Mus musculus: one gene and its partners. The protein of the gene in region 1 purifies or fractionates together with the protein of each later gene. This does not show direct contact. Links are inferred from orthologs where the notes say so. Each region holds a gene or a part of one and is shown in the gene's direction. Other genes may lie near its edges.

Region 1 (3,997 bases):
AGCAACATTCAGCATTATCTGGATGAACTCTGAAGGGCAAACACAGTTATCCCCTTATACACATGGACACCCACAGCCTGTGACATCCTCTTCTACTAATGTAGGAATATCAGAGTTAGGAGCCCCCAGGGTTGGCCTTTCATATTGTCTTATCCAGTTTATAACATAAATCTCACAAGTTACATTGGAAAATGCACTGAAGAGGTGGTTTACTATATTTCCTTCCTATGAGCTGTATAAAAATCACGTAAACATCAGTGAGAGGGGTCCATTGTGTCACTTGCTCCTCCCAGTTATATACAAATGAAAAGATCTCTTTGCTGTCTTTTCTCAACACAGTTAGTTGATGCTCAGGAGTGGTGGTAACATGCCCAGAGTCACAAAAGATAACTTAGGCTGGAATTGTAATGTGCATCCTATGATCAAGTTCTGGGGCTGAACTACCACACAACCAAAACCTGGATTCTTATACTACCATGTAAAATACTGTTACTCTACATTTTGAAGTGAGGTGATTTGGGGACAGTTTAAGACTTATTTAACTTATAAACAAATTGGCCTCTCTGGGTTTGTAACCAGAGATTGTTGATATCTATACAGCATGATAGGATGATCTGTAAGGTGCCCTGCCAAGCTACCGAAAGCATGACCTTCAGAGTCTGACCTTGCCTTAGTGTCAACTCTTATTTCTTCCCTCTGCCCACCTGTCCATTATGCCTATGATAAAAGCAGAGGGAGATAGCATTTACAGTGAGTATATTGCCCACAGAAGCTGAGCATCCTTTGATCTCATTGAAATAGACCATTTAGCCTCTAGTTGCTCTTTGAGTATTTGCTGAACTCTGTCATTCAATAATTACTTTGGTGGAACAAATGGAAAAGAACAAAAGATCTTTGATGAAGGATACAAAAAAGCTCCATCATGTCAAGCTGAATGCTAGGGTGTCTGCATTGTGGAGAGATAATCTGAAATTTTGTCCAATCATATCTTTGTTTTGGTTTTGGTTTTGGTTTTACTTCAAGTACATATAATTTCAAACTTCAGCTTTCCAAAGAGAACTATTTCTTTGGCAGCATTTAAGAATGAATTATTGGGGCTCAAAATATAGCTCACTGTTTAAGAACATATGTATTTTTCTTCCAGAGGACTCTAGTTTATAATCTAGCACCTATATGGAGAATCACAAGGATCTATAGCTCCGGTTCCAGGGAATGTGATGCCCTCATTATTCACCACACATGCACATAGTCCACACACATACTCACAAATAAAAGAAAAGAAAACAATGAATTATAAAACACATGTACTTTACCTTTTAAAATTTAGGAAAAATAAATAATAATGATAATTTGTCAATATTTGTTTTACTTTTTTGGAACATTTTTACTTTTTCATTGAAATGCTATGTGGGTTCTGTCTACAAATGACATCCTGTTAAACATTACACCAAAAATAAGCTATCCTTATTAGAGAATTGGCAAATGATTTCAGAAAAGTTTTGAATACATTACTGTTATTTGATTCATCATTACCCATTGACTACAAACCATTGTTACTATAGCATTGCGCTTATGGAGAGAACTTATGGACTTTAGCTTTGGCAACTTCCAGTGTAGTTAATTACCTGTGCAAAATATTTGTACTCTTTAGATTGGTAACCCATGCATGCACAATGTTTTTTCCAGTGGTTTGGTACACTTAGAATCCATCAATAATACAGAAGAATGCACTTCTGATAACACTTCGTGCAGCACCTTGAAGATAAGGTGTCTTTTTCAAGCTGGTTTTCAGAAGTTAAAACACTCTCTTATTGTGCTTTCTCTTCCCTCTCTGTAGGGTGAGGAGGGGTACCCACAGGAAGGAATCCTGGAAGACATGCCTGTGGATCCTGGCAGTGAGGCTTATGAAATGCCTTCAGAGGTAAATGCCTGTATAAAGAAAACTAAGCAAAACACTTTAGGTGTTTAATTTGGAACACATACCATCAAAACCCTGCCACTATCAGATCTCTCTCACATTATGGTTGGCATAGTTCAATCAAGAAAATATTTTAGAGCAAATGATTTTAATCTTTGTGGGAGAGGGTAAGGGATATAGTAGGTCAAAATTAAAACATTCTAGAACAAGAGACTGGTAGTAACAAAGGCATATGGAAATGTCTGAGTAACAACGGGCAGTTATGAATCATGGTTAGAAAACAGAAAAATGACAGATTAAGGCTGAAGACATAACTAAGGTTTTAGACAAACTGTAGAGCCCCAAGTTACCATCATTTAAGTTTATTTTTACATTTGGAAAAAGAAGAGTTTGATGATAGGTTTAGTTTAACAGCACAATCCTAATTAGAGTTAATTTTGAGGAAGGCTATCAAATTCAGTTACATTGGGTCATTACTGTCATGAATGTTATCTGGATTTTGTCCAGGAGGCTTGGGCTTTCATGTGAAAGATCCTTCATGGAAGCAATTCATGAAGGTGGAGTGTTCTAATGGGGGAGAGAAAGGCGAAAGATGAGCTCTGGAGGAGGCTTCATGCAGCTTACCTAGGTGTGCACAGCTCACACTGCAGAGCAAAGGAGAGAATCCAGAGACCCTGCCAATTCACACTGCAGGAGGAGAGCACAGATCAAATGATATACCTAGAATTGGGCCTAATAATCTAACGGTGATGTCCTCTATAACTTACAGTTGATACGTATGAAAAAGCCAATAAATGTCAATGACAGATAAGTTCCAAACACTGCTCTGAGGATCAATTTTATCTGATTGAAATGATGAGCCCTCCCCCACTGTGAAGCAGACAGTTGATATCTGTCACTTCACTGACAAGGCATGCTGTTATTATTTTCTTTTCCTGATATTAGGAAGGCTACCAAGACTATGAGCCTGAAGCCTAAGAATGTCATTGCACCCAATCTCCTAAGATCTGCCGGCTGCTCTTCCATGGCGTACAAGTGCTCAGTTCCAATGTGCCCAGTCATGACCTTTTCTCAAAGCTGTACAGTGTGTTTCAAAGTCTTCCATCAGCAGTGATCGGCGTCCTGTACCTGCCCCTCAGCATCCCGGTGCTCCCCTCTCACTACAGTGAAAACCTGGTAGCAGGGTCTTGTGTGCTGTGGATATTGTTGTGGCTTCACACTTAAATTGTTAGAAGAAACTTAAAACACCTAAGTGACTACCACTTATTTCTAAATCTTCATCGTTTTCTTTTTGTTGCTGTTCTTAAGAAGTTGTGATTTGCTCCAAGAGTTTTAGGTGTCCTGAATGACTCTTTCTGTCTAAGAATGATGTGTTGTGAAATTTGTTAATATATATTTTAAAATTATGTGAGCATGAGACTATGCACCTATAAATATTAATTTATGAATTTTACAGTTTTGTGATGTGTTTTATTAACTTGTGTTTGTATATAAATGGTGGAAAATAAAATAAAATATTATCCATTGCAAAATCTTTCCTGGTTCCTTTTACTTTAGTAACAAAATCATGCATATCAGGAACATGAACATTTAATGACAACTGACACAGTGAACTGGAATGAAAAGTTGCAACATGTCTTAAGGAACCGAGGGGATTTAGAGATGGAACAGCAGGAAGGATTCTCCAGTGAGATTGAACACAGCCAGCTTTATCTACAGTTCTGCTCAGAGCTGTGGCTGCACTTGAGGAAACACTTCATTGGAACTAAAACGTGTGAGGGATAGTGAACTTTTACATATTCATAAGACACATTAGCATATCAGAGGCAGGCCATTGAAGAACCTTAATTTGGAATTTATGGCATGTATATGTGTGTGTGTGTGTGTGTGTGTGTGTGTGTATTTGTGTGTGTGTGTGTGTGTGTGTGTGTGTGTGTGTGTGTGTATAAAAGAACCCAGGAAATACCTTAAAACTCCTCAGGGACCCCAGGCAGTGGGCTATGTATATGATACCTTAGCAGGTACGCAAAGGTAAAAGCAAAATGGAACAAAAGGCAATGTCAATTTGTGAATAACAGG
Region 2 (3,565 bases), on another chromosome or scaffold:
GCAGGAGCGGCTCAGGGCTGGTCGGCCAGCAGGTGAGAAGGAGAGATGTCCACAGCCTGGGTTCTGGATGGGGAATGTGGAGAATCCATGAAATAGGCCTCATTCCATATGCTGGGTACAGTTGATTAGCATTGCTTGACTGCACATCGTTCTAGTGTCATGGTCGATTGGTGATGTCTGCTTGGCAGGTACCATCTCTTTCAAGACCTTTAACTGGTTGGGTAAAATGGCCTTATGGGATGGTAGAATCCTGTGTTAGAATAGGAAAAGGGAATTAAAAAATATTTAGTCTATTTGCATTAATTCTATCCCTACCTGTGAGATTCACTTGGTTGGAACTCAGTAAAATTCACTGTTTCCTCAAGGCTGAGCAGCTAAGCAGGAGTGGCTATTTATTCTTTATGGCCCAAGGTGAGACTTGGGAACCTCCGAGTTTCGCCATGAGAAATGGATTTGGGGGGCGGCGGCGGGGGGACGGGGGGTGCTGACAGGGTACCCAGGAGGCAGAACAGTGGGAACTTGGGTCAGTTTCTGTGTGGCCACAGGGGGATACAGGCTGGAGTACACACAATGCCTTACTCTACTTCTCTGGGTCCCAGCTAGAGGAGTTTCTAAACCAGAGCTCACCCTTCTACTTCTGGATGAACGGCGACCGCATCGACTCCCTGCTGGAGAGTGACCGGCAGCAGAGCCAAGTCCTGGATGCCATGCAGGACAGCTTTGCTCGGGCATCTGGCATCATAGACACGCTCTTTCAGGACCGGTTCTTCGCCCGTGAGCTTCATGACCCCCACTACTTCTCCCCCATCGGCTTCCCACACAAGAGGCCTCATTTCTTATATCCCAAGTCCCGCTTGGTCCGCAGCCTCATGTCTCCCTCCCACTATGGGCCTCCGAGCTTCCACAACATGTTCCAGCCTTTCTTTGAGATGATCCACCAGGCTCAACAGGCCATGGATGTCCAGCTCCACAGCCCAGCCTTCCAGTTCCCAGACGTGGATTTCTTAAGAGGTTAGAAAGCAATTGCTTTCTTTCTAAGTAGGAATGTGAATGTCCCAGATGTCTAGGCTCTTCCAGGGCTTGACCTGTGCTGGTTTTATGTTCCTAGAAGCCTCAGAGGCTGGTATTTCCTCCATTTGTAGGGTAAAGGAGCTAGGATGGGGGCAAAGAAATGCAGGTAAATGTGGGGGGGCGCAGTTCAATTAGCATTTGTAGAGATTGGAGCTCTTGTGTTTGTTACAGTGAACTCAGGGTGTGATCTGGGGCTGTGCCTCCTATAGGATCCCAGATATTATTTCTTGGGAACTTTTGAGGGTGTGGTGTGAGAGGCCCGCCCTTCCAGGCAATGAGTCTGTGTCATCTTAAAGAAGATGTTCATGGCTGTGACCTTAGCGTGTAATGCCTGTAAGGATGAAATATCACGTGGACACGAGAAACCGGTGTCTGAGGAGTGATTTTTTTTTTCCATTAGTGCCTTGGGTCTTAATACCATGTCCTACATGGTATGGTTTGCATTAGAAATAGAAGAAGTCTTGGCATCCAACACACATCTACTGTAGCTCCATTGTCTAAAGATGGTTTATGTTGTCAGGACACACTTGTGCTCTCTGGGGCTTGAAGGCCAGTTAGGGAGTACCATCAGTCAAGGAGAACAAAGAACAGCCATGATGTCAGAAGGCACACAGCTGAGGGGATGTGGCAGGAGAGATCTCCTCAGATGGAGATGGTGGGAAGGCAGGCAGGACCTGCTGAGAGCCGTGGGAATATCCTCAGCCACAGGGAAGTCCCATGGCTGCAAGCAAACAAATAAGCTGCATCGTGCCCTGACCATGGCACTGAGCAGAGGTGTGGAAGGCTGTCGGGTGGGCATCCTTCTGATGTGCCATGTGTCTAATCCTGCCCCTCTTTCCCCTCATGTGTCCAGAAGGTGAAGATGACCGCACTGTGTGCAAGGAGATCCGCCGCAACTCCACAGGATGCCTGAAGATGAAGGGCCAGTGTGAAAAGTGCCAGGAGATCTTGTCTGTGGGTGAGTCCGGGAACCAGTGGTCATCTGACTGTGGGTCTCCAGTGACTCACTGGCACTATCCTTTTCCAAAGACTAGCTCTCTGCCTGGGAACTCTTAATCCCCGGGAGACTCCTCACCCTGGTGCACAGCCTACTCTCCTCTTATCTAGAGCTTCATTATTTGGGAGCTGGGGTAGGACCCAGTGCCTCCTGCATGTTAGGTGAACGCTCTACCACTGAGCCACATCAATTTTACTCAGAATCAAGTTCAGGTGCAGATTGTTCTCATATAGATGAGGTGGAGCTAAAGTGCCCACCACCACCCCTGTGGCTCACTGGCAAACCTGCAGTCCACGGTGGAATTACACTGTATCGACCAGTAAGCCACAGCTCGTTCCCCTGGCTACTTTGTTCCACAGTGCCAAGTACTGTAGACCCTGATTTTGAACTTCTGATTATGAAATCTTTGACAACATGCGTTTTGTTTAACAAGTGCTCGCCACATGCCAGGCACTGCTGCAAACACGTCACAGGTGTCTGTTCGCAGAATGATCCTGTGAGCTGGGTACAGCTCTCTTTCCGTCTTGCTGGATGGCTAAGTGACTTATCTAAGATTACGTGACACGAGGCTTCTCACTTAGGCTGTGCTCATAAACAGCACCCTGGGGTTTCTCCCTGGGGACCTTGAGCTATGTCCTTGTGATGGTGGTCCTTGGTATCCTGGCCGCATTCTTTTTGGTGAACTAGTCCCTCAGAAAAGGAACTATTTTTCCTTCATCAGTTCCCCAGGCAATCTGGGTATGGTGACATATCCCTATAATCCCAACATTTGGGAGGCTGAGGTAGGAGGGTGGTGAATCCGAGGCCAGCGGCGAGGTTCTGTCTCAATGAAAACAAAACAAAATACAGCAAACCCAAAACTGTTCCCCACAGATTTGTCAGGTCTGGCTATCAAGCCAATGCCCCGCCTTCAGCCTGGTCTTTACAGTGGCTCACAGTACACGGTGCTACCTGCTCAGATCACCCTCTTTGTTGGCCGGGACAGACCTTTAGAGTCTGGTTAAATATTCCCAGCCTCATTCCTGCAATGTTAGGAGGCTAGGAAAAAAAAAAAAATACTAGTGCTTTCAAAGGTCATAGTGTGACATTATAAACAAATATGGGCCACACCTGTAGGCTTTCCCTTATAGTTGAAAGATGGGGTGCCTGAGCACAGAGAAGCCAGTCACCTTATAGACTGGATCTCTTACATCAGACTTAGCGATCCTCTCAACAGTCACCCGTTAGCTCTTATTTACGGTGCTTATAATGGTATCCTCTCAGCAGTCACCGTTTCTGTCACCCGTTAGCTCTTATGTACAGTGCTTACAATGGTATGGATAGGCTTCACAGAGACCTCTCGCCTGGGACATCTTGCCTCAGCCCTGTGGGCAGACCTGACCATGGCTGAGCATTTAACAACATTTTTGGCTCCAACCTACCATCTACCAAGAGCAACCCTCCCTCCACTGTGACAATCAGAAACATCTTCAGATTGTCTGGACTGTCTCCTGGTGG
Region 3 (4,207 bases), on another chromosome or scaffold:
AACTCCTAAAGCAGTTGCCCAAGTTTTATTGTATATATACATGACTTAGCAATTTTTAAGAATTAAACTACTCCTACTGTAAGAATTTCCAGTTTGAAGCTGGGCGTGGTGGCACACGCCTTTAATCCCAGCATTCGGGAGGCAGAGGCAGGCGGATTTCTGAGTTCGAGGCCAGCCTGGTCTACAAAGTGAGTTCCAGGACAGCCAGGGCTACACAGAGAAACCCTGTCTCGAAAAACCAAAAAAAAAAAAAAAAAAAAAAAAAGAATTTCCAGTTTATAAGATTTCCAATATGAACCTATGATGGAGGTCAGCCAATGTATGTGAGGTATTCAATCTCCATATAGGAAGGAAAGCAAGTTTATATCCTGTCGGGGGTTTGTATAAAAAGTACTGAGACTTGCCAAACGAGCTGGCTTTCTCTGAGGTGGGTACAGATAGGACCAGGTGAGGGTGGGTCTCCCTCCTGTAAGCTGAAAGATAACTATTAAAAACTCAGGAGAGAGCCGGTGGGAGGGCTCGACAGGTAAGGGTGCTTGCCACACACCGGAGGATTTGAGTTCCATCCGAGACCTTGTAGTAAAGAAAGAACACACTAAGGCGAGTGGTCTTCTGTGAGTTTCCACGTGCACCCTTTGGCACAGGTTGAGATGCACACACAGTAACTGTCAACCCAGAAGTGTAAAAAGCTGAAATAAAATGAGATAATTAAATAATTTATCTTATCGTAGATGATAGCATTGCTCCAACCCGAGGGTGCAGTAGGACATTTTATTATTTGTGTGCATATGAGTGCAGTGCCCGTGGAGGTCAGAAGATGGCATTAGATCCTCAGGATCCGGAGTTAGGCAGTGGTGAGTCTCCCCAAATGGATGCTGGGAACCGAACCTGGGTCCTTTGCAAAACCAGCAAGAGCTCTTAAAGCTTGACACCGTCCTGTGACCCAGGGGACAGGGTGACCAGGCCTAGCTGGGAGGGACAGGCCTGGGATGACGTGGAACGAAGACTAGCAGGCCAGGGGCAAATAGAGGGGATGTCACAGTAAGGGGCAAGAAAGGCAAACGGTCCACAAAAACCGTAATGTAAGACGGCTTCCAAAAATGACTGAACTTCAGCCTGTGAATTCGCATGTGCTAGGATTACAAGTGTGGGGTTCAGGCTGTAGCCCAGCCAGGCCTCAAACTCGGAACCACTATCAACTTAAACGTCGAAGAGGCAGAGAGGGGCAATTGCGCAGGCGCCCGCAGGGTGGGCGGTACCGTTGTCTGGGGGCGAGATGGTACAAGCGCTGCGCAGCCGCAGTAGCCTCTATTCGCTCCTCCCCCCACCCCCACCCCGGGGCCTGGGCTCAGCCGGACATGACGCAGGCCGAGGCGGAAGCGAGGGGTTGTGCGCAGCCTCAGTGCGGGTGGCGCGCATGCGTGCTGGGTACACGTCGGGTGCGAGGTTCCTGCGGACTAGCGGTGGCTTCGCGTGGGTGGAGGAGGCGCGGCTGCAGGTCAGCGCCCTGGGGCTAGAGGCCGGGCTGTGATCCGCCCGCTGCCCCGGAGGGTCCCGGCTGGGCGGGCTGGGGGCAGCGGCCGCAGTGCATGCCGGGCCAGGCTCTGCACAGCATCCTCCGGGTTGGAGCGAGCGCAGTTACTGGAAGGCTTGACCAAAGTTGTGATGCGTGGGGAGCGTGCAGGGAAAGCACGCGGAAAGTGCCTCCGAGTGGCGGCTAGCTGTTCCCGGCCGCAGCAGGGCTGACCTCCTAAAGAGATAGTCCATCTTTATTAATCATTAGCAGTGTGGTCAGAGATTTAGCACCTTTGGACTCCCCCAACCCGGTCCTGACATTTTAGCAGTTTATTGGAACATCAACAACAAGAACAAAACCTTCGAAATTTACAAGTTGGTTTTTTACCAGTGAAATTGTGGATTTGGGGTTTTTTGTTTTGCTTTGCTTTTTTGTTTTGGTTTGGGTTTTTTGAGACAGGGTTTCTCTGTAACCCTGGCTATCATGGAACTCACGCTGTAGACCAGGCTGGCCTCGAACTCACAGATAGATACTCCTGTCTCTGTCTCTTCCTCCCAAGCGCTGAGACTAAAGGTGTGCGCTCGACTCGCTCCCCCTCCCCTCCCCTTCTCTCTTTCTCTTATTTCTCTTATTCTTTTCCTTCCCTCCCTCCCTCCTTCAGAGTATTTTAAGAAAACCAGCCTCTCCACAGTGTGACTGATATGCAGGGCCCGTTATGTGACCTGTCTTCGTTAGAGATTGGTCCTAAGAAAGCACAGTAAGGGAAAATGCAAAGAATACTAGCACACATTGGCAATCCCACATTTATTATTTTTTTTAAAGGATTTAGATTTTGGTTGGTTGGTGTTTGTTTGTTTGTTTGTTTGTTTTTCGAGACAGGATTTCTCTGTATAGCCCTGGCTGTCCTGGAACTCACTTTGTAGACCAGGCTGGCCTCGAACTCAGAACTCCACCTGCCTCTGCCTCCCGAGTGCTGGGATTAAAGGCATGCAAGGATTTAATTTTGATGTATCAGCATTCTGCTTGCATATATGTATGTGCAGAGGCCAGAAGAGGGCGCTGTATCCCCTGGACCTGGAGATGCAGACAATTGGGAGCAGCCCTGTGGGTGCTGGGAACTAAACCTTGATCCAGTGCTCTTAGCCACAGACTACCCACCCCAGCCACCCTGTTTTCATCCCGGGATTAGAGTGCTGAAACTCTGCCATGTGAACCAGTTTTAATCTAAGCTGCTTGCTTCCATGGATCCCAACCTGTCACACAGAAGTTATTTACTCTGCGTGAACAGATGGTTGTTACAGAGGCAACATTTTGAACACTTTTTTTTCCTGTTTTTTTAAGTCTTTAAGAAATAGAAATGGCTTCCAAAAGAGCTCTGGTCATCCTGGCCAAAGGAGCAGAGGAGATGGAGACAGTGATTCCTGTGGATGTCATGCGGCGAGCCGGGGTGAGTTCCCCTCATGGGCTAGCTCTCCCTGTTTTAAAAACGAGGGGACTCCAAGTCACTTTTATTTGTTTAATGTTGTGTGTGAGCTGCATCCCGTGGTGCAGATGTGGCGGTCAGGGGCTGTGCGCTGTCTTCCGTGTTAGCCTGGGCTCCCCACTCTGTGTTTATGTGACACGGTGAGCATGGGATGCACTCAGGTTTGCCAGGCTCACCCTGAGCATTTCCTCACTCAGACCTGGCAGCAGCATGGTCAGCTCTCTGCCTCTTTTCACAAACCCCAGGCAGAGACGCTCAGCAGCGCTGATTTCCAGTTAGAGCAGGGCTCAGACCCGGTTTCTTCATTTCACATCGCTGCACAGTTGGGACAGCATAGGAAAGCCACCACCCCTCCCCTCCAGTGACAACCTTATGACACTGGAGTAAATACTTCGAGGCGTTCATTCATCTTTTGTGTATATATGAATGTTTGCCCACATGTTTGTCTGTGCACCACATGAGAGCCTGATCCCCTGGAACTAGAGTTAGAGGTGGTTGTGAGCCGCCATGTCGGTGCTGGGAACCAAACCCCGGGGTGATCTTAACCACTGGCCATCTCTGCAGCCTCTTTAATAAATATTCTCTTGTGGGGTTTATTTGTGCAAACGTGAGGATGGTTTTTCAGGCTCAGCACCTGAAGGTGGGGTTGCTGACTGTGTAGTCAGCATCACTGGGTTCTGAAAAGTTGCCTCCAGTGCACTCACCTGTCCTCCCCCAGGACTGTCGGGTATCTCCTGAGCTTCGGGGACTAGCAACTGGCAGTGTCACCTACTCAATGTTTTACAGGATAAAGTGTTGTTTAGTTGTGTGCTGTGCACTTCTACTTTAAGAAAAGCCCATACGGTTGTAATGATAATGCCACCCTCAACCCGTGGGTTATTATTAGGACGGCCCGGTAACTCATCTCCCAACTCAGCACTTGTGGAATAGAGGGTGTTCTAGCCAGGCAGAGCCAGAGTAGTGGCTCAGCTACAAATTAGGGCTGTCCCTGGCAAACCAGAAGAGACCAGGTGTTATTTACCGTTGCCTGGGCTTGGTCTTGTACTCCCCGACAGGTTACTTACAAACCACAGAATGGGTGTCAGGCTGCCCGGAGTCTGTGCTTTCATGGTCTTGAACATCTATCTGCTCTTTCTCTAGATCAAAGTCACTGTTGCAGGCTTGGCTGGGAAGGACCCCGTGCAGTGTAGCCGTGATGTAATGATTTG
Region 4 (3,565 bases), on another chromosome or scaffold:
TTCCTTCCTTCCTTTCTCCCTCCCTCCCTCCCTCCCTCCCTCCCTCCCTCCCTCCCTCCCTCCCTCCCATTCTTTAAATACAGTTATGGGAGTTGAACCCATAGCTTGTTACGTGCTGGCAAGTGCTTGACCACAGAGTCACACCCATTGACCTCTTGAATTTTTTAGTTGGAGTAAGGATTTCACTGTTTCCTAGGCAATTCTTGAACTCTTTCTGTAGATCACACAGGCCTTAAACACTGGCCTCTAGAGTAGCTTGAACTATGGGTTTCTGTCACCAAGCCTGGCTCCCCTACTTTCTCATCTCAGCTTTACATCCATAGCTGTGCAGTAGGGCTAAAAAGAGGGCAAGGAACAGATTTACCAAAGAAATTCAAGTTGAGCCCAAAAGGCCTCTGTTGTCATGGCTTGGTCTCCCTGAGTGGCTACAGGGTATGAAGAATTGCTTTGGGAAGGAAGAGCTGAAGCAAATCCATGAGCACAGTGGCCTCATTATGTGCTCTTAATGCCCAAGGTCTCAGCAGCTCCAGTAGGTGACCCAAAGACATAGGTGAGGAGGCTCCTAGCTCATCTAAGCCCCAGAAGAAAGCTGTGGTCAATCTCTGCCTCAACCACAGTCATATTTTGGGGACAAAGCAGAGTTGGGTGTGGTGACTTTTGTGCAGCCCAAGCCCCACAGTCCATCCAGCTCCAGGAACCTCCTGGCAGCAGAAATTCAGCTCTGGTCCCCAGAAAGGTGAGATGTAAATACCAGGATTGGGTCACAGATCCCAGGACCATAACCTTCAGGGGCAAACAAGATCAAGACAAAGTGGGGTCTGGCATGAAGAGGCAGGCAGTGCTAGGGACTGGGCTGAGACATGGCTCAGGGCCTTGCCTGCCTTGCTTCTGGATGAGCTCAGGACATGGGGTCAGGGGACAACCAGAGGCATTAAGGGGACTATGTCCAACACTGACAACAGCTGCAGCAAGCAAGGAGGTTCACCACCAATCCAGGATATCCCCTTGAGTGGTAGCTATACAGGAGCCTTCCACTTTAGTCAGGAAGCTGGGTGACAAGGTCATACTTGAGGATGCAACATTGGGGTCCACATACAAATGATGAAAACTGCCCCGCCCATGGCCCTCAAGTTGAAGCTGCTGTCCTATGCACAGGTGCCTTCCTGGTGCCCTACCTGCTCTTCATGGTTATTGCCGGGATGCCCCTCTTCTACATGGAGCTGGCTCTCGGGCAGTTCAACAGAGAAGGAGCTGCTGGTGTCTGGAAGATCTGCCCTGTCCTGAAAGGTAATATGCAGGGATGTGTCCCACAAAAGACATGGCTATGTCTTTGGGGGTTCAGAACAAGGTGATGACGTTATGTGCAGGTTCCAACTTCCTAAACTGTGAGGATATATGTACATGACTGTGGGTCATACCTTAAAGACTGGTATGACCAGGAATCTTCTAGAACATGCCTTGCTCCCAGGCCAGGCTTCCCTAAAGCTAAGTGATGGTATTTTTGTCAGGGTGTTAAAAAAATACCTATGAATCTGCCACGTGTCTATCAACCATCTACTTACTTATTTATGGTCTATCCAACAAGCACCATTAAAAAAAAAATCTATCATCTATCTATCATCTGCCATCTATCTCTATTTATTACTCATTTATCTACTTATCATCTATATACATATTATCTGTTCACCTATCAGTCATCTATCATTCATCCTTCTATCTACATATCATACATTTATCAATCATGTATCTATCAATCATCTGCCTAGTTCAGTGAGTCCCAGAATGTTTATAAAAGGCCTAAGAACTATGAGGCAGGGGTACCTTACACTGAGTCTAGGTAGCCTGCTCAGTGATTGATACTTCCCAGATGTCAGCTCCCTTGTCCCAGGAGATCCCAGCTGGAGAACACAGTGCCTTCTTCATGGGAGATACTGACACTGAGAACAAGGCTAAGGACTTCTCAATGAGTTAAAAGCCAATCCTGAATCTACCTCAGCCCTGTTTACCACCAGCCAGCTTTGGATCACCCTTATCCTGACCCACTGCCATCCCAAGGAAGATAGAGTTCCAGGAGACTTCAAGACTCTTCTTGGAAGAGACCCAGTGACATTCCCCTCCAGTAGTTGGCATATGCTGAGAAAACGACGCTTGAAAGATTAGCATTGGGTTTTCTCAGAAGTATTTGAACAGTACCTGCATAGAAGAAAGCAGAGCCCCAGTTCCCCTGTGCAGCATCTGTGGGCCAGTGGTTGACACCCAAGACCAGAAACTGCTGCTTTGAATAGGAGCAGCAAAAGGGCTTCTCACAGCTGCTTAGCCCATGCATGCTCTTCATGAGCATGCTGCTCTTGCCCAATGGAAATGTGAAATGCAGAGGTTGTTGGGCACAGATAGCAGGCTTCTCAGTTTAGGATTCGTAACTGGTAAGTGTATAAAACTGTGTTAAGAAGGACCTTATCTAAACCTCCATGCACAGCTTTAGAGACAGACAGATCCTCTGGATATGTTACTGCACTGGATGTTCCCCACTGTGCTCAAAATGTAAGATTCAGCACTTAGGAGAACTGCACGGGACTGTCCGACACCATCAATGGTTTCTAATGGAGGACTACTGTGGCACTTGGGAACCCTGGGACTTTAGGAGATAATTCTTGTGTTGAACTCCAATTACTATACAAGCTTTGTTGGGCCAAGGTCAATGAGCTCAATCTAAGAGCTCCAGGTGAAAATAGCTCTTGTCATTCCATCCTAGACTATCTAGCAGTGCTAATGTGACCCAGGGAGTATATACCATTTCTGAGGCTGTGGTGGTAGCCACGAGCTTCAACCAAATCTGGTTTTCAGGTGGCCGTTTGGAACTGAATTGGAGACCCAGCCTGCCTGTCCTTGAATAGAGGACATGTCCAAGTTGGTGGTATCCTGTAGCTGTGTGATGCCAGAAGTGGATCTGCTGGACTTTTTGAGATTCGTGCTCCATGACTGTGGAGTGTGACATAGATTTCCACAGGATACAACCAACCAGTGCCTCAGTCTTCGCTGGAAGTCGCAAGGACTGAAAGGCCAACAGGAAGCCAGGAAAAGGGGAAAGGTTCAGTGCCCGGGGCTGTGGCTAACCCAAGAAAGCTAGTTAGCTCAAACATAGACCTACTCACAGCACAACTCTCTCGGTAGTTGGGTATGAGTGCTGGTGTACTCAAGAATCCCAGCACTAAGGAACTGGAGGCATAAGGATTGCAAATTCTAGGACAATCCTGGCAGAATAAAAGGCTGTCTGAGCAAAGCTCTTCCACAAAACCACTAAAGCAATTTTTTTTTTTCTATTTGTAAACTATCAGTAAACCATTTTGAAGAGCTTCACGGCACGATGCAATTCTCATAACTTGGCTTGGAGCACAGTGGATGAACAGGCATTGGTACTGATAGCTTTGTAGGGAACAGAAGACTGTGGCTATGTTACTGGATAGCTGAGAGAACCTCAAGAATGTGAACAGAGTCCAGTGAACTTGCTGCCTTAGTTTTTGGTGGTCCTATCCTTGTTTCTCGGCAGCTTTCAACCCATTCCAAA

Evidence for each region.
Region 2: the proteins of Snca (region 1) and Clu purify together in Homo sapiens (affinity purification with western blotting; 3 studies listed by BioGRID and IntAct, with this or other methods). This does not show direct contact. The link is inferred for Mus musculus from reciprocal best matches to the Homo sapiens genes SNCA and CLU.
Region 3: the proteins of Snca (region 1) and Park7 purify together in Homo sapiens (affinity purification with western blotting; 3 studies listed by BioGRID and IntAct, with this or other methods). This does not show direct contact. The link is inferred for Mus musculus from reciprocal best matches to the Homo sapiens genes SNCA and PARK7.
Region 4: the proteins of Snca (region 1) and Slc6a3 purify together in Homo sapiens (affinity purification with western blotting; 6 studies listed by BioGRID and IntAct, with this or other methods). This does not show direct contact. The link is inferred for Mus musculus from reciprocal best matches to the Homo sapiens genes SNCA and SLC6A3.

The regions. Positions count from the first base shown.
Region 1 is NC_000072.6:60,731,028-60,735,024, reverse strand, and holds the end of Snca (alpha-synuclein), read left to right. Parts: intron 1-1,837; coding exon 1,838-1,921; intron 1,922-2,863; coding exon 2,864-2,896; 3' UTR 2,897-3,452; downstream 3,453-3,997. UniProt on the Homo sapiens protein: Neuronal protein that plays several roles in synaptic activity such as regulation of synaptic vesicle trafficking and subsequent neurotransmitter release.
Region 2 is NC_000080.6:65,974,982-65,978,546, forward strand, and holds part of Clu (clusterin preproprotein), read left to right. Parts: coding exon 1-32; intron 33-599; coding exon 600-1,011; intron 1,012-1,924; coding exon 1,925-2,029; intron 2,030-3,565.
Region 3 is NC_000070.6:150,907,074-150,911,280, reverse strand, and holds the start of Park7 (Parkinson disease protein 7 homolog), read left to right. Parts: upstream 1-1,359; 5' UTR 1,360-1,498; intron 1,499-2,857; 5' UTR 2,858-2,873; coding exon 2,874-2,963; intron 2,964-4,139; coding exon 4,140-4,207. UniProt on the Homo sapiens protein: Multifunctional protein with controversial molecular function which plays an important role in cell protection against oxidative stress and cell death acting as oxidative stress sensor and redox-sensitive chaperone and protease.
Region 4 is NC_000079.6:73,539,690-73,543,254, forward strand, and holds part of Slc6a3 (sodium-dependent dopamine transporter), read left to right. Parts: intron 1-1,155; coding exon 1,156-1,287; intron 1,288-3,565. UniProt on the Homo sapiens protein: Mediates sodium- and chloride-dependent transport of dopamine. Also mediates sodium- and chloride-dependent transport of norepinephrine (also known as noradrenaline). Regulator of light-dependent retinal hyaloid vessel regression, downstream of OPN5 signaling.